Caenorhabditis elegans: one gene and its partners. The protein of the gene in region 3 interacts with the protein of the main gene of each other region in a pairwise test. Each region holds a gene or a part of one and is shown on either strand. Other genes may lie near its edges.

Region 1 (4,374 bases), on a different chromosome or scaffold from region 3:
TAAAAACATTTGATATGAATTTCAGATGAAATCAAGTGTGAATAAGTACAGTGCTCCACATCGCATCGTCAGATTTCTCGTAATTTGAATCGTTCGAGAGATATGATTTCTCGATATGCTTCCAATCCTGCGGCTTATGGCCCCAAAAAGTCTTCTGGTCGCCCACCACTTTTTTCTGATCGGGACAAGCGGAATATCGTTTGTCGAGCATCCAATTCAACAGTGACTTGCTCGAAAATAAAGAGCGAGATGAACCTGCCAGTGTATGTTGAGACCGTACGACGAGTTCTTTCGAAGTCCCAATTTATTAAAAGAAGAAAATTGAGAAAGGCTCCATGCGTCACCAAAAAACACCGCCAAAATCGTATCCAGTTTGCGGATGCGATTACAGATATGTGATGAGGCGCGGTTTGATACCGTTTATCCGTCGAAACAGGTCCAGAAAATACACTTACCAACAAGATGGAGCGCCTTGTCACCGCGCGCGTCGTACAATCAAGTGGATAAGTGACAGAGGGCTCCCTGTTCCCGACTCGCCTGCCTGCTCCCCGGACATAAACATAATTTAAAACGTTTGGGGATTCATGATGAGAAAGATTTACGATGGAAACAATAGCAATGTTAACGACCTCAAAAGAGCAATTCTTGACGCATGGCATAAAGTTGACCAAACTCTCCTGGACAATCTTTAACTTTTCATGGATTCACGCGTTTTTGATGTGATTAGTACAAGAGCTCATCCCGTGGATTATTAATCATCTCTTGTTCCTTATTTTTCTAAGTTTTCCTACTTTTCTACCACCTGGCCGTATCATTTTGTGGAGTTTTTTAAATAGTTTTTCATGAAAAAATGTTTTTTTTTCTTTTTTACGAACGCTTCGGGTATATTTCCATCACTTATCTCAAAGCTAGCCAGTACAACGAACATTTTCACATGAAACTATGTTTTGCTATCTTAACCCAGTTTTGAGTTATACCAAAATTTAGGGGTGGCCGTATCATTTTGTGGAGCACTGTATATAGATACGAACAAAAATTAATTTAAAAAAAAACATCAAGGAAAGTTTCATTAAACCGAATCATTGAATCGATGACTGCGAACTTTGAGTACTTGATGGTTCCTCCTCAATTCTAACAAATCGATTCCGTTGCTGGGTGTTGACGTATCTGGAAAAATATCTGATTAGCTTATATACAAGAAAAATTTTCAGAAAGAAATACTTTATTGCGCACGTTTTGTAGTGCTAAACTGATTTTTAAACGAAATTCTAAAATACCTTATGTCGAAATGCAGACCATCCTGGGTGCTGGAATCAATTGGACACAGCCATAATCCCCATCCAAACACTGATTGAAAATTATTATATTTCCCCATATTGTAGTCAGCTGCATTATCAAATCTTAGAAGAGCTGGTTTTGTTTGTTCGACAGTTGTCTCGTTCAATGAGATCAATTGATAATGGAATATGATAAGTTCACCGAGTGGATAGTAACCAAACACTCCGCCGACAATAAAACTGAACAAGTAGAACAAAAACTTTCCCAATTCATCGGTCCATTGTTGATTGATAAAATATCGAACAGCACCTTCTAGTGAAGTGAGCAAATACCAATAAACAAGAAAACTGGTGTAGATAATGTAGAGTAGAAAGTACTTGTAATTGACGTGTGTAACACACATGTTTATCCATGGACAGTGATGATCATACTTAATGCAACACTTCCCACATGAGCTACAATGTCGGGCACGATCCGGTTTGATATGTCCGCACTCGTAACAATACTTGAGCCTTCCCACTTGATCACATTCAGCGACGACTACTTTACAGTAAGTACACATCTCCTCCAAAATAGTATTTTGTTGTGCAAGCTGAAAACTTTGTTGGTGTATTATATAAAGTGTATTTAGCATCCATAAAATAAACAAATAATAATAAAAAACAAAACAATCAAGACAAGATTAAACCACTTATTTTGATTTTTTCACTTTACCTGTTCAGGTGTCGATTTCTCTACCACGTATCGATTTTTCTCCATCGGTGTGACTGCTTTCAATCTATCTTCAAGTTCTTTACTAGGTCGATATCTTTCTGGAACTCTGCCAACTCTCGTGAACAACGTTTTTGCAAGACTCCACATTGACATAACAAACAGAAATGATCCAACAATCAAATAAATGGTTGCTTGAATTGTTGACTGAACGTAATAACCAATTGTCACTGTCACGTACATATAAAGTCTGCAAAAGACCCAGTTAAATGATTCGCAAACAATCAAGAATGACTCACGACCACCAGAGCAAAATAAGTTGAATGAAAAGAAGTACATTGAGACATCTCGTCAAAATCCATCCAGTGATTTTATGTTTAGCGCGGTATTCTCGCACTGCTACGTAAATCTTTGAATACCATGACATTGGTTTTCACTTTTAAATTTCTTGTCTAAATCATATAAACTTTATTTGGTTCAAATCATGTTCAAAAGAACTTACCAAACGACTTCCAAATGCAGAAATGATTGAGAAATATTCAAAAATTGTAAAAAATGTACTGCTGGATTGCGTGAAGTTTTATTTCATTTACCGCAGGAGTAAAAAAATACCGTGGCATTTAGAAATAATGTTTTGTGAAAAAAATTTATGGGACTTTATTTGTTGCTGATTATCGAAGAAATTATTTGGAAGTTAGAAGTAAATTATTTCAAGCATTATTATTATTTATTGTGAAAAAAATGAGAAAATTGTGTCATATATACAGAGAACTGATGTCAAAGTTACGCATTCGATGTCTACTTTCTCTTGCAACACTGTCCATTTCCACATGGAGAATAGTTTTGCTGGCACGAGCAGGAGTTGACTGATTGTGTCTGGCATGGCATCTGGGCTGGTTGAGCAGCAGAACAGGATTGAGAGCATGATTGGGTGCAAGCTGGAGCACATTGTTGCATTGGTTGTTGCTGCTGAACGCATTGCTGTTGGCATGATTGCTGGCATTGTGGTTCACATTGTGCAGATTGGGAGACTGAAGCTTCCAGAATGATTGTGACAGCTTGTGGAGCAGCAGTAGTGGCAACTGGAGCTTGGCATGCAGATTGGCATTGCTGGCATTGTGGAGCAGATGGTTGCTGGCACTGTGGAGTACATTGTTGTTGGCACTGTTGAGTTTGTTGGCACGAAGTCTGACATTGTTGGCAAGCTGGTGCAGATTGCTGTTGACATTGTGGAGCACACTGTTGCTGACAAACTGGAGCAGCTTGTTGGCAGGTATTCTGGCACTGCTGGCACTGTGGAGCTGATGGTTGTTGGCATTGTGGAGCACACTGTTGTTGGCATTGTGGAACTGCTTGCTGGCAGGTGGTCTGGCATTGCTGGGTGCATTGCTGATTGCACTGTTGGGCTGGAACTTGTTGTTGAACACATTGTTGTTGGCATGATTGCTGGCATTGAGGAACACACTGAGCAGAGATTTCCATGTTAATCTTGATTATTTGTGGAGCGGCAGTAGTGGTTGGAGCACATTGTTGAACACATTGTTGCTGACATTGTGGCTGACATTGTTGAATTGGTTGAGTTTGAACACATTGCTGTTGGCACTGTTGTTGGCATTGTGGCACGCATTGAACTGCAGCTGGAGTCTGGACAACACAGGATTGTTCACAGGCTGGCATGCAGGATGGTTGACATTGAACTGGAGCTGGAGTAGTTGGAGTATAACAGGAAGAAGTCTGACAGCTTTGTTGGCATGTAGATTGACATTGACTAACAGATGGAGCAGATTGACATTGGTTCTGGCAAGACTGCTGACAAGCTGGGGCACATTGAGAAGCTTGAATTTGGTAGGTTTGTTGCTGAACTGGTTGGGCACATGAACAGGATTTCTGGACTGGAGCAGTGTTCTGACAGGAACAACTGTACTGTTGTGGTTGAGTATAGGTGGTTCGTTGGCAAGAGCAACTTGGTTGAACTCTTGGAGCACAGCCACAGGATTGGCGTTTATCGCGAATTGTTGTTGCCTGGAAATGATTTTTGTGAAATTTGACTGAAATCGTGGTCAATCGTGGTCGACTGAAATCGTGGAATATATAATCTTATGTCTGCAAGCAATGCTCAAGAAAAACAAATATTTGTTAAATTTGGGTACTTAGCCGATTTTTTTGGATCGCCGCTCAGCCCTGTTCAACAACTATTTAAAATGAACATTTGGCTCAACAATACTATTAGATGGCCATTATACCTCAATAAGGAAACAGCTTGAAACAAGAAGAGCTGCAATTGCGAAGAAGCGCATGATACGGTTCGAAAGGATTGGAACAGATGATTTTCTCTAGTTTCCAGGCCTTTTATACTCACACTGTATGGTTAACCAAAGAACATAA
Region 2 (5,399 bases), on a different chromosome or scaffold from region 3:
TCCTAGCTCCCTCCAAAAAAAAAAAACTCACGATGACTGCTCAATGAGCATTTCCAACGAGTTGTGCAACTGATCATTGTTCTTCTCAACAAAATATCTCGTCTCATAGCACACCGTTCCAGCATAATGACGAATCAACAATCCCTCGTCATCTCTCATTTCGCGATGCGACTTGACTTTCGACTTGCGCGGTGCATCCAATCGGAAGTGGTTCTTATTCGATTCGTGAGCTCTCTGGGTGAAATGTTGGAATGTGGCACGTGGCAATTTGGCTTCCTCATCGAGCAAGTCAAAGAGCCCCGAGGCTTTCTTCTCGAAGAGCTCAATGCAATCCAAATTGTCTGTGAACTCAATCTTCTGGATGTTCAAGCCCTCGGCTTCATACATTTCTTGCTCCTGCTTCAAGATTCTCTCGTTGAAAAAGTGCTGAAGCTTCTCGTTGCAAAAATTGATGCAAAACTGCTCGAATGAGTTAACGGCAAAGTACTCGAAACCAGCGACATCCAAAACTCCAATGTACCCTGTGCTCTTCTCAAATGGAATACTCTTGTTAATCTGAGCAACGAGCCAATCGAAGAGCTTAGAGTAGATTGCCTTAGCCAGAGCATCTCTTCCAGCAGACGCTTCGTGAGCTTTCAAAGGGACACGGATAAGGGTACCCTTGACACCTCCTTTCGTAGTTTGCATGATTCTAGCACATAGTCCAAGCTTCATCTCTTCCGGCTCCAAGCCCAAAAGCTCTGCAGCTGCCATCAACGAGTTTTCAGTGCCCGAAGTAATCATGCATCCACCACGAGAATCACTCGCGTTCTCCTCAAACTCGATGTTTCCAAGATGAAGGATCCCGGCAACTGTCGACCAGATGAACATCTTCTCATCGTCTGAAACTCCAGATAGTGCGAGAGCTCGTTCAAGCTTCGCAAAATCATCGATATCACTGATAATGGAATCAGAGACTGAAGAGTTGGTCTCGGAGAAGCGGCTTGCGTCGGTTTTCAGAGAAGACTTGGAGTTGACAAAGAACAGTGTTGCTCCGTGTTTCAAGTACTGAAATTGAAAAAAATTATCGATTTTTGCTGAAAATTATCGATTTTTGTGAAATATATTGATTTCTGTTGAACATTATTGATTTTTGATGAAAATTATCGATTTTTTGCAGAAAATTATTGATTTTCTGATGAAAAATTATTGACTTTTTCTTGAAAATTATTGATTTTTGATGAAAATTATCGATTTTTGCTGAAAATTATCAATTTTTGGTGAAAATTATCGAATTTTTCTGAAAATTAGCTATTTTCGGTGAAAATTATCGATTTTTGTGAAATATATTGATTTCTGTTGAACATTATTGATTTTTGGTGAAAATTATCGATTTTTTGCAGAAAATTATTGATTTTCTGATGAAAAATTATTGACTTTTTCTTGAAAATTATCGATTTTTGATGTAAAATATCGATTTTTGCTGAGAATTATTGATTTTCCGTTGAAAAGTATTGATTTTCTATTGAAAATTATCGGTTTTTAATGAAAATTGTTGATTTTCATAAAAGTATCGATTTTCAATGAAAATTATTGATTTTCTATTGAAAATTATTGATTTTCTAATGAAAAGTATCGATTTTTGATAAAAAATTATCGATTTTTGGTGAAAATTATCGAATTTTTCTGAAGATTATCTATTTTCGGTGAAAATTATCGATTTTTGTGAAATATATTGATTTCTGTTGAACATTATTGATTTTTGATGAAAAATTATTGACTTTTTCTTGATAATTATCGATTTTCTGTTGAACAATATCGATTTTTCATGTAAAATATCGATTTTTTGCTGACAATTATTGATTTTCTGTTGAAAAGTATTGATTTTCTATTGAAAATTATCAGTTTTTAATGAAAATTGTTGATTTTCATAAAAGTATCGATTTTCAATGAAAATTATCGATTTTCTATTGAAAATTATCGATTTTCTATTGAAAAGTATCGATTTTCTGCTGAAAAGTATCGATTTTCCTCAATTAGAACAGAGACTAACATTAAAACTGCTCGCCGGAGCCAATCTCAACTTCTTGTACAAATCCGGTGACGATCCGGCAATCAATTGATAGAAAATGTGGTAGTTTCTTTCTCCGGCAGCTTGACGGCAGACTCTCGATGTTTCCAGCAAATAGTGAGACACAAATCCACCGGCGACAGTTCCCTGGAAATTGTGGTTGTTGGTGGCCGAGTTTTTGAAATTTTTCACGGCCACATGGCCATCACTTGGGAAAAGCTTACATTATCAGAAAAGTGAATCTGCACAAATTTTCCGAATCGACTCGAATTGTTGTTGCGCAGAGTTTTGGCATTTCCAAAGGCTTCCAGGATTGGGTTGGCTGAAAATTTTAAATTTATTTTAGATCTTGAGCTTCAGCATAAATTATGGAAATTATCGATTTCTGTTTAAAAAAGTGAACATTTATGGTGCCAGACTGTCTCATCCATGGTTTGATCTACACAAAATGCGGGAATTTTTTGCCCAAAAATATATGACGTCAGAGCGTTCTTAACCAAAAGCGAAATCAGATGAGATGTCTGCGTTTCTGCTCCCGCATTTTTTGTAGATCAACGTAGATCAAGCCAAAATAAGACACTCTGACACCTTCCATCCATTTCTACGGGAAAAAATTCCCGGTTACTGCAAACGCGCTCTATTTCGAATTTTCCAAAAGTTCAAATTAATAATACTTTCAAGAAGTCTCTGCTGAATTGGTCCGGCGTCGGTTCCCCAGTTTTCACAGAGGTACTTCAACACTGCTTTCTGTGATTCAGTCTTTCCGGCTCCAGACTCTCCAGACACAATAATCGATTGGGACGTCTTGATACGACGCATCTCTCGATAGGCCTTGTCGGCGATCGCAAAAATGTGCGGCTCCATCTGACCGAGCGATTTTCCACGGTATTCTTTAATCGTTTCAGGAGAATAGAGTCCATCGATCAGTTGGTAGGGGTTGATTGAGATCAGAATGTTTGCCACGTAGGTCTGAAAAAGCCAAATAAAATAAAATATTAAAAAAAAAAAAAACAAAAAGATTTGACCCAGGCAGGGCTCGAACCTGCAATCTTCTGATTAGAAGTCAGACGCCTTATCCATTAGGCCACAAGGCCACGGAACAGACGCGCCGGAGAGACCTACATAAAGACGCTGACAAAACCAGCGGGGTGTCTCGCACACAGCCGTGCACATAAACACTCCACAGGCGGCCGGCAAGCTGTGCGCGTTTGGTCTAGTGGTTAGCGAGCTACTCTTTTGTACACAAGACCGGGGTTCGATTCCACATGCTTGCTCCATACTTACATAGATTTTGCCATTTGCATAACGCAAACGACAATTGTTGAGCAGTGTCGCCTCATTCAAGTGCACTAGAGCGCAATTGTCCTCGACCGACTTCTGCGGATCCTCCTCACAGGCCCATGTGTCCTCATAGCGACGATTCACAGTTTCCGACGTCTTTTCAGTGGCCAATGTGAAGCCGTTTTCCGCGATATCTGTGATACGGGCGGCCACAAAGCCCTCTGCTTCATCCGAAATCCACACGAGACGCCCGAAATCCGCGGTACTATGTGTGCTACTATCCATTGCTTCTTTTTTCTGCAAATACGCTCTATTGGACAGGGCGTGGTGAGTGGGCGAGAAGAGAGAGAGAGAGCCCAGACGACGAGAACATTGACTTACCACGTGCAAAATTGTTGTTTATGCAGGGAGAAAAACGGTAATGATTGAAATTTGAACTAAACGGTTTGGTTTCGATTTTCGGAAAATGCACGTGACAAAAAGGTTGCCCTGTGGCACGTGGAAACGTCGATAAAACATTTAAAATTAAAATTTATTGATTTTTCCTCAATGTCTCAAATTTAAAATGAAAAAGTCGATTTTCAGGCTTAAAACTTTGAAAACTACAGTAACCGAAGTTTAAAGGGGCATGCTTGTAATTTATCGATTTTCCTTAAATTTTTCAAAATTGGAATTAAAAAACACGGATTTCTGGCTTGAAATGGAAGAGTTGCCGAACTAGGCCATATGGGCTCGGCCATATCTGGGGTAGATTTACGGCGCGTTGCGTGTCGCGTCGCGGCTCGATTTTAGTTGTAAAACTAAATCTATTTGTCCGTGTGGAGTACGCGACACTTTCCCACGCGTTGTCCGTCAGGAGATTGTCAATGGAGCGCGAAAAATTCAATGAGAGTAAAGCCAGAAACCCGTGAAAAAATTGATTTCCAGACTTAAAACTTTAAAAATTACAGTACCCAAAATATAAAAAAGCATGTACGTTTCTAATGAAACAAATTGAGGGTTTCTCGATTTTTCGAACATGTTTATAAAAATTCTTATCGATTAAAATTTAAAGACGTACATGTCTGAAATCATTCGATTTCTGTGAAGTTTATTGGTTTTTTTTTTCGGAAAAATATACAGTACTCCATTTTTAAAGGCGCACAACGGTTTCAAAAATTTATCAATTTTCGTTAATATTATTATATAATTTTTCGCGCTCCATTGACAATCGCCTGCCGGGCGGGAAAGTCGTGTACTCCACACGGACAAATAAATTTAGTTTTACAACTAAAATCGAGCCGCGACGCGACACGCAACGCGCCGTAAATCTACTGATCCAAAATGGCCTAGTTCGGCAAAAACTCTCCCATTTCAATTTATGAGGGAAGCCAGAAATCCTAAAAATTTGAAACTCAAACGCGTTCCGTGGCCGCGGAAAGAGAAAACACCGGCCACAAACATTTTTTTCTCCAAAAAGGCCGTTTTCCTTACAACTTTTGCCTATAAATAAGGCGAAAAGTATCAAATTTCAGAATTTATGAAATATTCACCAAAAAGAGCCCGAAATTGTGCAAATATAAAGCCGCCCCACTCGAGACTGAATAGGTAAATGTGTATAACAATTAATATATTACTTTTATGAAACTAATCTCCCCTACAAAATAAACAAAACACAATTCGCTCCGCAGGGGCCCAATTCAATGGGAAAACAGTCTCGGACAATTGTTTGTGGGGGGAAACTATCGTGGAATTGAGGTCAAAAGAGACAGTGGATTTGCCGAAAAAGTTTATGATGTGGCAGTTTAGACATGTCTATTACCTGAAAATTGCGCGGAATTACACCAAGCGCGCTCTATTGCGCGCCCACAACTCGACGCGAAATTGCAGAAAATACGAATTTTTAGATTTTTTGTTTTTAGGTCTCGAAGCGAGGAGTTTAACTGCTTTTTTTCCAAATTATAGCCAGATTCACGGATTTCTGGCTTCCCTCGTAAATTGAAATGGAAGAGTTTGCCAAACTAGGCCATGTTGGCTCAATAGATTTACGGTGCGTTGCGTGTCGCGTCGCGGCTCGATTTTAGTTGTA
Region 3 (6,506 bases):
GTGAATTCGTTGATCACTTTGGGAAACCTCAACAATTTGAAGCAACTTTCCTTACCTGGAATTGTAAACGTCGATGATTCGGTTTGCTTGCAAATTTCAAGATGCTCGAAACTCACATATTTGAATATTAACTTTTGCAGAAGGGTGAGTAATTATTAATGGTTTTTGAAACACAAACAAAATGCAACTGTGAAAACAAAAATGGCAATATGCAAACTTTTTCCGTGTTTCGTAAAGTTCTGAATTTAATGACATATTGTTCACTTAATATACCTTTAAAAAGAGAAGAGCTCTAATAGCAGAAGTTTGCAAACTGCAGTAAGAAACTTTATCAGTTTCTTTCGAATCATCAAAAGCCGTCACTGTACTCGATGCTCCTACCTAATATGAGCTCCTAAACTAGAATAGCTCAAAAACATAATTGCTCTGATAGCAGAATTTTGCAAACCACAAGAGCCTTTATGAAGTTTTTCAGCAAAAATTATTGTCATTTTAATAAGGAACGAACCTTTTTTTACATTTCTGTATAAGTTTTGGATAAAAAAAGTTGGATTATCATATTGAAATAAGCCGGTTTGTGCGTTTGCCGAAAACAATCGCCGCACAGCCCTGTCCTCCACCAACTTTAAAAGTTAAATTGGACCAAAACGTTATTTCTCATCCCAATAATTTCCAGGTTCAAAAACGCGGTCTTCTATGTCTTCTCTCGTGTCTCACCTCTCTCGATCACCTTGAAGTCCTCGGAATCCGTGCCTACTCTCATCACCTTCTCGCCTTACATATCAACTTTCCAAAAACCATAGTCTCAGATTATGTCGAATCAATATCCATCATAATTCCACCTATTCCTCCTCCGATCCCTCCATCAGCTATTGTCAAAGCCTAGCAATTTGATTTCTGTGTTCTCCCCCCAGTCCCTAAGCCCGGTTTCAGAATTTTCAGGTAACGAATATCGCATTAAAAAGTCTAGTCATTTTCAGCCTTATTTTCCCCGGATTTCTTTTAATTTGTTAACTTGTTTAGATGTATAAAAAACGTATGTTTATATTGAAAACTATTTTAATCCAAGTACTTGACTGTAAAAAAAATAATGCTGATCAGAAAAATTAGCGGGAGCAGGAACATCGCACTGAGTTGAGCCACCACCCAGTCGTAATTCATGACCATCGTCTGAAAAAAAAAAGGATTTTTGAGCTTTTAGATAAAACATTGGCCTGCTAATTTTAGACATTTTCAAGTACACTTTCTTGAAGTGAAGTTTGCAATATGGAAAGAAAATTTTGAAAATTAAAAGGTGGGAGTTTTATTTTATTTTTTACATTTTGGGCTTTTTGACTAACTGTTGCGGTATTATAGAGGAACTGTAGGGTTGCTGTAGAGCTACTGTAGATACGGAAATATGTTTCTGTATGACTACTGTATGATTACTTCAGGGTTACTGTATGATTACTGTAGAATTACAAGAGTATCACTACAGGGTTATTGCATGGCTTGTAGTTTTTGAAAAAAGATTAAAATGTTCAACAAAAAAATTGATTGCAAAAAACCGTTAAAAAGTATATTATTTTAATGTTTTTAGATCGAGTCGGAAATTTTTTTCGAAAAACAGGAAAAAACCAGAAAAAACTAGGCTTCTTGTTTTTCAGGAAGGTATTGAAAAACGACATGAACCCGAAAGTAAAAAAACATTTTGGAAAACAAATATTTTTTCTTCGATTTTAAGAAAAGAAAACCGAAAAATAGACACATCTTGGCTTTTCTGTTTTTTTTTTTAATCTGAATGTTCATATTTGTAATTTTTGAAGGAATATAATTGAACCCCAAATTTCGTCTTTTCAATGAAAATTAATCTGCCAAGCAGCCTCTAATAAATGCCGAGTGTACAGACTCCGCCCCTTTTTCGCGTTTTTTCGCGTTTTTTTTTGGCTTGCGAAAAAATGTCACACACGTTTTCATTCACAACTCCTGAACCGTGTGACTTCATGCTCTAATATTTGAAATCCTACTAGAAATATTTTGCCCCACGGTGGAGCAGAAAACGACACTAAGTTCGGAGCAAAATTGAGCCCAGGGCGGCTTTCCCCAGTTTGAAAAAATTTTTTGTTGCTCTTTTTACCCCCAAAAAAGCATGTTTTAATTGAATTAAAATTCGGGTTTTGCTCGGTTTTGTTCCAAATTTCTGTGCAAGATACTACTCAGAGAGACTGATTTTTTGAAAAAAAGTTTGAGTTCATAAGTGCAAAAGAAAAAAAGTTGTGATAAAACAAAAGGCCAAAAAATGACATTTTGCCAAAAAAATTTTTTTTTCCGAAAAAGTAGTTTTTCGTCTTTATCTCAAGTTCTACTTCATCTTTTTTGATATTTTTTTTTTTACACCACGTAAAAAAGTACGCTGAACACGATTTTTAACTCAGAATTGGAAAAAGTTCTATGAGTCGGCCGAGCAAGACGAATAAGTGCCAAATTTTGCACACTTTCCCATCTTTGCGAATCTACTTTTTCAATCATAACTCGGTCAGTTTTCAAGTTTTCTTAGTTTTCTAAAAAATGACGTGTAGGTCTCATCAAGACGCATCGAGACATATAAAATTTGTAAAAAGTTCAGTGGGAAAATTTTTCAAGAAAAAAATAATTCAAAAATTTTGTACTGGGAGGAGTGGTTTCCTGGGTCCCCTGAACATTTTTTCCACTAAAGTTTCGCGGAATGTATTTTTAATTCATAGTTTTTGATTTTATTTAATGGAAGATGAAGTTTCGTCGCGTTAGCAATGCTCTGCCAAGAGATATTATTTTTTTTAATTTTCAGGCTAAAACTTGTTTTTTTCTATACATCTGTCTGTGTACAAGATATAGCCCTCAACTATACGTCTCCTTTTCGGGAATTCAATAATGAGTACAATCCTGTAATAAAATTTTCAAAAATTAGGTTTTCCGCTGACTTATCAGTGATAAACGGTTTTCGAACGTCTTCCCCAAATAGTAATAATTGAAGAAAGCGGAATCGAAAGACGACTTCCTCCAGAAAATGTTCTTCCCTACATCCCAGTTTAAGGTGTCACCCGCATGGCCGAGTGGTTAGTGCGTATGACTGCAGAAATTTTGGTTGTTGGTTCAATTCTACCAAGTGTCAATTTTTTTTTGTTTTTTGTGAGTAATCGGGATTCGAATAGAAATACTCAATTTTATACAAAATATGGGTACGTCTCCCCTAATATAAAGCCTCCTCAAACTTCAATCAATCAAAACTCAGCTTTAACTGATTCATCGGGTGCATCTGTTTTTGGTCAAACCGAACTCAAAAAACAAGAAGACTCCCATTGACCTACTGAAATTTTCACAAACCCTCTAACAGGTTCGAGGCGAAGTCGAGAACCTACGCCCGGCAAGGGGACTCGCCTTACACCCCTACAACTGGCGGGCCCGCAGGGCCCGCTAGTCGAAAACCCCCTTAAAAACTGACCGGATCCTCATAACACCTATACCGACACAAATCCTCCTTAACACAAACGAGTCCTTCTCCACAATCAGTGTTCAAATCGCATTGTTTCCAATGCTTCATCACTTCTTCTCCATTCAAATTCAATTGTCCTATCACCCACAAATTACCTGTCTCGTTGTGACAGAACATGAAATTGTATTTGGTATCCACTTTTTCCGTCGAAAAACAGTCCATGTTGGTTCGAAATGTCATACTTCCGAATGTCAGGTCGGTTGGGCGAGTTATTTCTGGAATTTAGTGTGGAATTAGAATTCAGTTTTTTTTTAAACTTACTTGGTGGGCAGCTATACCCCTTGTAACAGAGGCCACCACGTTGATCACTACTTCCAGAATACACCATTCCCTTTTCGACGTCTTTACACTTTTCTTGGCCATACAATGGAGTTATTCTGTCAGGACAAAACGGCGAATCAGCGGCTTTTGGGTCAACTGGAAATGTCTATATTTTAACTGAAATTACACGAAGAGGGTTACAAACCATTGCAGCAAAATTTGGTCTCAAGATCACACCAGCCACTGTATCTCTCCAAGGATGCTGTACAATCTCTTGATCGGTTACAAGGTTTGACAGGGGTGTCCGGCATGCCGCCAATGCAGATTTGTTTGGCTGAAGATAACAAGGTAAAATAAAGTTTTATTGCCCCCGGCATCTCTTGGGTTTTTTTAACCAGGGAGGTGCCGGGCGCTGTCTCTCTAATTCCTTAAACTCACTATCCTTGACACATCTCTTTTCGCTAAGCCCGGTGACATTCATACACGCTGCGAAATTTTTTGGGCAATCGGATAAAACTGTGCATTTTGGACTAGACGATAATGAAACTGAAATCCTTATAGCTTTAGTTAAAATAGAAATTAGGTAACACTCACAGTTTCCAGATGCCTGAGAAAATGGAATCAGGAAAATTACAGCTAGTATCATAATTGATAGTTTTAACGGAGAAATAATTTTCGAAAGACGGTGTAAACGTGGAAGAAAAATGGGGAAGTGGTTTTTTTTTTCAATGTTCACGTAAAACGGAGGCATGGATTAAATCGTGGACAAATTTATATTCTGAAAGAAGTTGACTGAAATTCAAGACCTAAAGTTTCAGGCTGTGTGAGTTTTTAGAAAGTATGGCTTTTGCTTTTTTCTTAGCTAAATGAAAGTTACATGTACCAACAATACATACGCCCACAGTAACCTTATAGCAACGCTTTGTAACCCTACAGTACCACTACAATAACTCTACAGTAACTAAACAGTAGTCTTACAATAACCGTACAGTAACCGTACAGTACCCGGTTAGTAAGCCTACAGTAGCACTACAATAACCATATCCCTTTATTAACTCTATACTAACCTTATAGTAATCCAGCTGAACCACTACAGTAATCCTGCTATTTTGTTCATCGCGGTACTCAATCAATGTCGGCTGCACAGTAGGTTCCCGCAGGTATACGCAGCCGACATTGATTAAGGTTTACGATGAAACACTCGTTCCCACGTATCTCTTGCGCCTCTCCTATCATACCTTTTTCGAATTTCAGGCATTAGGGGTACTGTAGATTTATTCTGTTGCAGTTGTAGGTGGCTATTTTAGTATATTGAGTTATTTATCAGAAACTCCCACTAGTACTTCTTGCACGGTCGAATAGTTTTTCATATTGATATTGAGAATTCACCCAAATATACGTGGCCATCTTTCAAAAATATATAATTTCATCATATTTTTATTCCAAAATATTCCAAGTATATCTGTTCTCAAAACCAACCTCATTGTTCACATATAACAACGTCACCAATTTCAATCATCAAAATTCACAAAAATAGAATTTTGAGGTGGTAATAATCCGCGTATTTTTTTTGTATAAATAGGAAAAGTCTGAGTAAGTGAAAAGGAATTTTTGATTAATTTTTGGTTATTTTGTGTCGTGTGTATGTGTGGTCGCCGATATAATTAATTTGATACGTTTTTTACGATGATGATGATTGCCCAATTTTGACAGAATATTTTAGCATGTTTTTGTTATGCCTACAAAAATTTCCAATTTTATGCGTTTTCTTATCCTGTGAAAATCTATCTCTGAAAATTATTTTCCTATTGGTGCACCTTTAAATGTAGAATCTGTTTAAAACCGCTCCTATAGTTCTGAAATGCCCAAATAGCAAGTAAAAGGTTTCAAATAATTCTTGAAATTTTTTGAAATTTTCAGTCAACGTTTTTGCAAATTTCCTAATTTATAGAAATTTGACAGAATTCAAATATAAAATTCGTACTTTGATTTTTTTTTTTTCGGTTGACACTCAAAATTATGAGCCACAATTTTTCACTGAAATTTTTAAAAAAAGTTAATGGGTTTTAATGAAATTGTTTGTGTGCAAAATCGCATTCAATTTAGCCGGTGAGGTGCTAAAAGGGCGAGTGAAGAGGCGCTCCTTGCGCCTCCGCCGGGATTAATTAGGTGTAGGTAGAGACCTTAAGGCTGCCTGAATTTTTAGTTTCCACAAACGATTTTAGTTCTGTGAATATGTTTTCAACAATCGCATACATATTTGCTATGAATTTAAGTTTTTTTACAAATCCAGGAAAATTTTCAAACTTCCAGAAAACATTTAGCGAATTCCGACATTTTTGTTTCAGAATACAATAAATATTTTCTTGATCTCAGGATTTTTTTCACGAGAAAAAAATTGATTCCAGAAAAAATCGTTTTGTAAAACTCCAGATAGCCATTTACCTAGACCTAGTTTTTACAATTTGGCATTCTCATTTTTATAAAATTGGATATATTCCATCCGGCCCGGGTGGCAAGGAGGTGGTTGCCATGTGGCCAGAAAAGTCGAGCCCACGTGGAGTGTTTAAAAATTTACTTCTTAAACTATTTTTGTCAAAATGTCAAAAACTCCTTTCACCGACTCATATTTTATTTTCGACAAACAATAGCTACCCAAGAAGAACATCTAAAAACAACCCTGCTCCTCTAATCCCTCAAACTATACATAGTTATATCTTTTCAAGTCAAATCT
Region 4 (6,669 bases), on a different chromosome or scaffold from region 3:
GAAAAACGACGTTCTGTAATATGTTCAAAAAATTGAATCGATTGTGTGTTTGTACTGGCAATGAAAAATATGAAAAATCAGTTTGCATAAATTCCAATACGAACCACACAAAAGACGATGAGAAAATGTTGACGTGGAATCCCAAAAAAATCGGTTTTTTTTCAGCGAAAAGTGAACAAAACATGTTCACACCATTTAGCTGAATACATGTAATAGAGAAAACAAAACAGAGATTTGTTGGCAAAGTCGCCATTGGAAGCCGATCAAGTACATGTTCATGTTTGCCTACTGTTACTAGATGTTTTATTGTTTACATCTTACTTATTTGTTTTTTGAATTATCGAGAGAAACATTAAAACGCGAAAAAACAATCAGACTAAAACAGTACAATAAAAGTTCAAGTATCGCAACAATGTCTGAACGATTAGGAGATGAAAGTGACCGACAGAGATGGGAAGGAATGTTGACTTGTTTAAAATAGTTTAAAACAAGAAACAGGTTGCAGAAAGTTAGAAATACGGGGTCGAATAACACAATGAAAAGCAGAAAAAAGGTACTCGAAAAACGATAAAAAAAAGTACGAGAGGAAATAGGTGGGCACGGGGGAAAGTGGGAGGAAAGGCTAATTAAACGGAAAAGGGGCAAGCAAAAGTCGAAATATGGTTACGGTTGATGGAAAGAAGGATTCAATTACTACGTACAATTGACCAAATTGATAATTGACGAACTTTTAAAAATTTTGTTTACTTTTTGTTTATGTTGTATTGTGTTGAAAACTAAATTGTGCCGAATTATACGCATCATTTTGAAAAAGGTAACTCTCTGCCAATTTTAAGTTCTTGAAAGTCATCTATCATCTAATTTGAACGGTTTTATTTATGTAAGCCAAGTCAGTAAGAAAGTGAGTTTAAAAAATAGATAATACAAAAAATAAATATGAAAAATAAATACAAAACCAAGATTTTGGCGAGTTTGTGGTTTCTTACAATAAATTCTTGATAGATTAACAGATACCTTCAAAAACAAATCAATGGTTGAAATACTAATTTTTAACGAAACCAGGAATTCCTACAACTGTCAAAATTAAACTGGCACATGGGAAATTGAGTATCAAACAAGCAAATTAATGTTTTCTAGTCAAATCAGGGATCAAACACAAAGAATAAAAAATCTAAGGTTGTGTAACCAATGAAAAACCGAACACTGACCAAGTTTAGTCAAATTGAAAGTGGGTGAAAAATGACTGTCGACCGAAAACCAGTCAGTATGAAAAGTCTGTTGAAATTGTCGCCGACAACGGGGGTAACCACGACGATTTCGGGTTTCACACACCATCAAATATATCCTTTTGTGCGTCTCTCTTATGGAACAATATACAAGTTACGATATATTTTTTTTTGATTTTCTGTCTCTCTACTATCCAAATTTTATATTTATTGGGGAAAAATGTACAGTATAGATTGAAGCCTGGTGAGCAATCGGAAGCAAAATCATTTTCTTTGTTTTTTGTTTTTTTTTATTCGTCGTATCTATTGAAAAGAGGCAACATTGCGTCGGAAGCCCCAAAAAGGGACGGGAATGACAGTACAATTGAATTCTTCTCTTCAGAAATCTGAAATTCTTCAGAGAATTAGAAATACAATTAAAAGTTGTGTTCGAGGGGACAAGAACATAACCACACCCATCCGTTTTATTGAGGATCTGAATGTTCACGTCATAAAATGAAAAAAAAGGGGTTTGTTTATAGGTGTTCTCTATATCGGATTGACCCAAATCGGCCTACAAAAAGAGGAAATGAGATATGAAGTGGCAATAGATACAGTGATATGATAACAAGCATTACGATAAGCAACTCGTTTTTTTCATTGCAATGAAGCAACGAAAATTAGTGAACGCCTGTTCCGAAATCAGATGTACTTCTGGTGATAAAAAGAAATAAACAATCGATGTACTTTTGGTAACGTGTATTCTGTAATTCAGTTCACAAATGTTTGAAAAATTAATATTGTTGCCAGCGGTTCCGAGAGATGTATATCCTATAGTTAGTGTATACTATAGTTCCATTGAAGCTCGTAGTTCTGAAAAATTCGAAATAATTGGTTTCATAGGCACACAAGTAGGCACATTTTGCTTGAAAACCTTATTCTAACTTTTCCACGTATAACCGTTTCAAAACATGAGCTATTGAATCACATAGGTCTCAAATGCCAATCCGTTTGGCTCTCTTGGCTCTTTAGTAAGCAAAGCCGAGAAAAGGGACACCTGCAGTTTCCCAATTCGGAGAAAATGTTCAAAACGTGAACTCAAATCTGTTTGCCAGCGGTTCACAAATTTTCAAAACGTATCATGGTGAAAATATTTATTTCACCTTTTTAAAATCTAACTGAATTGTATCAACTATGGGCTTAATTGGATTATGGAATGTAAAACGTCGAGCCAATCGAGCTGTGAGAAAGTTTCAATTTGTGGTTAATAATATCAGACGGTTGGTTAGAGTGTGGATTTTGTTCAAACACATGAAAAATTTCAGAGAAAAATCAGGTCAAAACCGAGTTTTAAGATATTCTGAACGTTTGAAAAAATGGTTGTCCGTTTTATATCCTCCATGGAAAAAGGAAAAAGATGATGGGATTTATGACAATTTATTCGAAGATGGAACAAGGTTTTTGGAATTATTTTGAGAAAAAAGAAAATCTTAAAATTATTTTTCCAGAGCTAATTCTATTGTACTTCTATTCCGAAACATCCTAATGATTGAATTATTTGGAATAGTTATGTATTTTCTGTTGTCGTTCAAATATTCACAATACCCGGAGTTGTAAGTAGATCATATCCTAAATCTAAAGTTAAATATTTTCAATATAGTATTGGAACTTCCATATCCACAATTATCCACGTTTTTCTGATTTTCACTTTGATATTTCCAAAAGTAAGTACTTCAGGATTTTTATGTGGAATTAATAAAATATTTCGTTTCAGATGATGACGTACTTTATGATTTCTATCCACGTCATGTTGACTACAAAAATCAAAAACATAATTTTAATTCTTCTTGTCACAATGGCTTTTGAAGTTTTATCAATTCATCTATTCACGGGAACATCTCAAACTAATTTCAGGGTCCTGCAATGAATGTTATTGGAAATATTCATCAAGTAGCTTCTGGTGTTGCCTGCGTTCAAATTGATGTTATGAGTTCAAGAAATGATGTGGAAGGGAATGTAATGGATAAAGGAGCTATGCTTGTTTCTCGGTTTCGTGCACTTCTTCAAAATGTATCTGGTCCAATGAATAAGGTCAAGAAAATGCTATTGGTTCTAGATGAAAAGATGACAAAGTAAGTTGCAATTGGGATACCCAAAATGTCAAATTCTTGTAATTTGATTAAATTGATATTGTTTCAATTAAGATTTGTGGACATCATGAGGCGACATTATCGAGTTATAGCCAACTTGTCAAATCAATGTCGAAATATGCTCAAAACTCCCTATACAAAATGTCTTGATATTTTCGACGACGCATATTTTTATTGTAAGGGGAAAGCTCGATTTTTTGGAAGCCACGGCGATGCTTGTGAAATGATTCAGAAAACTGCAAAGGTATTCAATCAGTCAACATATCAATCCTATTATAAAACATTAAGATTTGCCATCAAGCAAAGGGTTTCTCAACGGAAGTATGTTCTTTACCTTCTATCATTGGAAAAGGAGTTAAAGGAGCAGCTGTACCATTTTATGCAGCTTACTTTCAAGCAATTGAATTCGCGGTGAAAAAGATTTTCTACGTACACATTGAAGCAGCAAAATGGGCACTGAAGAAAGTGAATCCAGTGATAGAAGAGATAAAAAAGGCGAAAAACATTCGAGCTGAATACCAGTCATCTGATGATGGTAAACCAAATGCTGCAGATGATACAACTGCAAACTTGAGAGCAAGTATAAAGAAAAGTTTGATGGGAATTGTGAATGTATACATACGGATTATCAATATAATTTCATTTATTCTTCGATATTGTATCATGCCAGGATTGCTCATATGGCCGTTCATCTATGTGAGTTTAAATAAGTAATATGTTAACATACAAAATTTTGAACTGATATTTTTCAGACACTTCGGTTCATGTATAACTACAACTATAATGACGACTTTAAAAACCGTTTTCTCACAAAAGAATTTACAAAAATTGATCAAGATTGTGCATTTCGCGGAGCTCGTAAAGTCATGCCATTAATGGCAAATGAATCAAAGCAGGTAGGTTTCTCTGGTTCATTATCATTCTAAAAATCTTAGACACCGTTTAGTATGTCAGTCGAGGTCAGTGGAAAATGACAGAACAAGAGCGACCTAAATTTCGATTAGATATTTTCATCACAATTGTCAGTTGTGTCACTCCTTTCTTTATGTGTATGCTTGATTATGGTATATTTACGGTAATTAAATGAATAAAATTATATTGACTTCAAATCTATAGATTCAAAGTTTCAGACTCTATCAACTGTTCATACTTTAATGAACCGAACAAATATCGATACTCCTGCTCATTATGAATTGAAAGTTGCTGGAAATAGTTCAATGTCAGATGTGATGAATGAATTTCTCGATGTTTTCAGTCCATTTACTAAAAGTATTCGAGACCGTGAAAATCGTTGGAGACGATGTTTCAACGAACCAAATCCTCCAAACTATACAGAAAATATGGTGATGTTTCTCATGTTTATCGCTGCACTTTTTCTTTGTCGATTGAAGGTTTGAAGAGTTGAGGAGTACTGTTAAGATATATTTAATTTTTGAAGGCATATTTTGGAAGGCAAACACTTGTATTGGCAGATTACTTCTTTCCGAATCGAGTAAGAATTCGTGCATTGAGCCTTTATAACAAAATTTTACAAAGTCGACGAAATTTGCTGACAGAAATGTTAGGAAATAATAAGGTAAATGGGAATTTCCGGTCTCGAGTTGACTGAAATATTTTCAATTCCTCGATATTCACAACTTAAACATTGAAAAAAAGTTAGCCACTACAGTACTACTTACTACATCACTACGTCACCGGTACCGTATTTTTTGAGTGATAAATCCCGATTTTGCGAATTGATAGTATTCAAAAACAGATATATTTTTTCCTGAATTTGACATTCCGATTTGATTTAAAAGTAATTTTTGCACTCGTAACATTGATAATTGACAGAAAGATGTAGTGGGTGGTGAAGATGTCATAATTCGGAGAACAATGCAAAGTCGTGGATTCGTGTGCTCCGATTGTGTAAAATGTGAAAAGTACGATATGAAAGTGTCTGATCAAGAGTTAGTTTTGTTTATTGATGATCAAGAAAACAAAGCTATTAATTCAGAAATGTGCGAGTGTGTGTTCATTGTAGTGCTTTTTACTGTATCAACTGTTTCTCAGTGACTCTTTTCTGTGTGAAATGCGAGGAGGAAATGCAATGTATTAACGGGATTGAGCTATACTATGAGGAGAGTAACGCAATTATTGATGACTCAGGTAAAATTAACTTTATTTAAACATTAATAATCATCTATTCCAGATATTTCATTGAGTGAACGCGAAGACGACGAACCTGACAAAGAACCAACAGAAGGAACAACCACCACCGCAGTAACCACTGTCGTCTGAATGATGTTTGAAAAATTAACTTTCCCGCCGTTGGGGAAAGCGCGCTCCAATGACAATGTACTTTTCGAGTTCAAATTTATTTGCCTTTTGGCGCAGTTTTCGAAATGATTTCGTTCATTTATTAGTTTTCTTATTATTTCCTCGAACTTCAATGATTATTTTCCAATTGAATTCAAATAAATTATCATTTAAACTTCATTTTATTTGTTATTTATGGGTTTTCCCGTTTGGAACTCTAATTCACTGATTTATTGTTTCAGAAATGATGGGTGATAGTCATTCTTCATTCACAACAACGACAGATGAACATCTATATAATCAATTTTCTCCGGGAAGAAGGTATCAATTAAGTAAAGATTCATACAATGAGAATAATTATAGAAAGAACGATTTTCCCGCTGCAAGCAGTTCATCATCTTCACCAAACTTGCGAAGGTCCCCAAACCGCACAGTCAGTTCACCGCGTGTTCAACAGAAGCCAATCACAATTTTCGATCAAATCGTGGATTGGTTTCAAGCGGAAATCAGTGTTAGAAAGAGATTAGCTGGTGCTGCATGCGGATATCTGTCCACCATTTTCTTCATTGTCACAGTATCCATTTTGAAACTCACGATTTGGGCCCCTTTCAGCTCAGTTCAAGGTTGACGTTTATTTATTTTTCTATGATTGGACATTTCTCTTTTTCAGACTCCCTGGCGTGGTGGATTTATCCAAACGCATGGGCCTCAATCATTTTCGTTGGTATTGCTTCTGTAGCCATGTCTCTTTTCAGCATTATCAAATTTTGCAAAGGTGAGCTCATTACTCTTTTTTCTTAATTTTAAATCGAATTTAAGTTGATCAACTTCCACGATTGGCAGCTACTGATACGTTCGCTTTAGCTGGAGTTGCACTCGAATTTGTTACCCGCCTCACATTTGTCTACACAGCCTTCTGTGTTGCGGATTTCTCATTTTCCAGAGAATTCGCCTTTGTTGCTATTTCGCTCGCCATAGCAATTTCATCAGCGCTAGTCGTTTTCCGTTCGGATTAT

The links.
Region 1: the proteins of spe-43 (region 3) and spe-10 interact in a two-hybrid assay, tested with the Caenorhabditis elegans proteins (one study listed by BioGRID).
Region 2: the proteins of spe-43 (region 3) and spe-15 interact in a two-hybrid assay, tested with the Caenorhabditis elegans proteins (one study listed by BioGRID).
Region 4: the proteins of spe-43 (region 3) and spe-42 interact in a two-hybrid assay, tested with the Caenorhabditis elegans proteins (one study listed by BioGRID).

The regions. Positions count from the first base shown.
Region 1 is NC_003283.11:10,382,390-10,386,763, reverse strand, and holds spe-10 (Palmitoyltransferase spe-10), read right to left. Parts: upstream 2,515-4,374; 5' UTR 2,492-2,514; intron 2,442-2,491; 5' UTR 2,417-2,441; coding exon 2,289-2,416; intron 2,240-2,288; coding exon 1,993-2,239; intron 1,871-1,992; coding exon 1,278-1,870; intron 1,168-1,277; coding exon 1,080-1,167; 3' UTR 1,024-1,079; downstream 1-1,023. Other genes in the region: pqn-2 (Prion-like-(Q/N-rich)-domain-bearing protein), read right to left, coding at 2,788-4,011, 4,233-4,286. UniProt on the Caenorhabditis elegans protein: Involved in spermatogenesis, specifically in the morphogenesis of fibrous body-membranous organelles (FB-MO), which are Golgi-derived organelles used for transporting sperm-specific components, in spermatocytes and in their localization into budding spermatids.
Region 2 is NC_003279.8:1,444,883-1,450,281, reverse strand, and holds the start of spe-15 (Myosin motor domain-containing protein), read right to left. Parts: upstream 3,786-5,399; 5' UTR 3,713-3,785; intron 3,629-3,712; 5' UTR 3,617-3,628; coding exon 3,335-3,616; intron 3,148-3,334; exon of another isoform or gene 3,048-3,147; intron 3,020-3,047; coding exon 2,725-3,019; intron 2,373-2,724; coding exon 2,275-2,372; intron 2,198-2,274; coding exon 2,033-2,197; intron 1,048-2,032; coding exon 32-1,047; intron 1-31.
Region 3 is NC_003282.8:13,137,937-13,144,442, forward strand, and holds spe-43 (uncharacterized protein), read right to left. Parts: upstream 4,419-6,506; coding exon 4,367-4,418; intron 4,319-4,366; coding exon 4,211-4,318; intron 4,107-4,210; coding exon 3,978-4,106; intron 3,929-3,977; coding exon 3,773-3,928; intron 3,727-3,772; coding exon 3,461-3,726; intron 1,171-3,460; coding exon 1,060-1,170; downstream 1-1,059. Other genes in the region: B0564.9 (F-box domain-containing protein), read left to right, coding at 1-144, 677-886.
Region 4 is NC_003283.11:11,732,699-11,739,367, reverse strand, and holds spe-42 (Dendritic cell-specific transmembrane protein-like domain-containing protein), read left to right. Parts: upstream 1-2,371; 5' UTR 2,372-2,399; coding exon 2,400-2,485; intron 2,486-2,530; coding exon 2,531-2,662; intron 2,663-2,713; coding exon 2,714-2,818; intron 2,819-2,865; coding exon 2,866-2,929; intron 2,930-2,979; coding exon 2,980-3,072; intron 3,073-3,119; coding exon 3,120-3,337; intron 3,338-3,409; coding exon 3,410-3,599; intron 3,600-3,643; coding exon 3,644-4,051; intron 4,052-4,107; coding exon 4,108-4,251; intron 4,252-4,301; coding exon 4,302-4,430; intron 4,431-4,485; coding exon 4,486-4,746; intron 4,747-4,793; coding exon 4,794-4,931; intron 4,932-5,188; coding exon 5,189-5,304; intron 5,305-5,351; coding exon 5,352-5,503; intron 5,504-5,546; coding exon 5,547-5,635; 3' UTR 5,636-5,828; downstream 5,829-6,669. Other genes in the region: npp-22 (Nucleoporin ndc-1), read left to right, coding at 5,898-5,974, 6,017-6,276, 6,324-6,428, 6,473-6,669.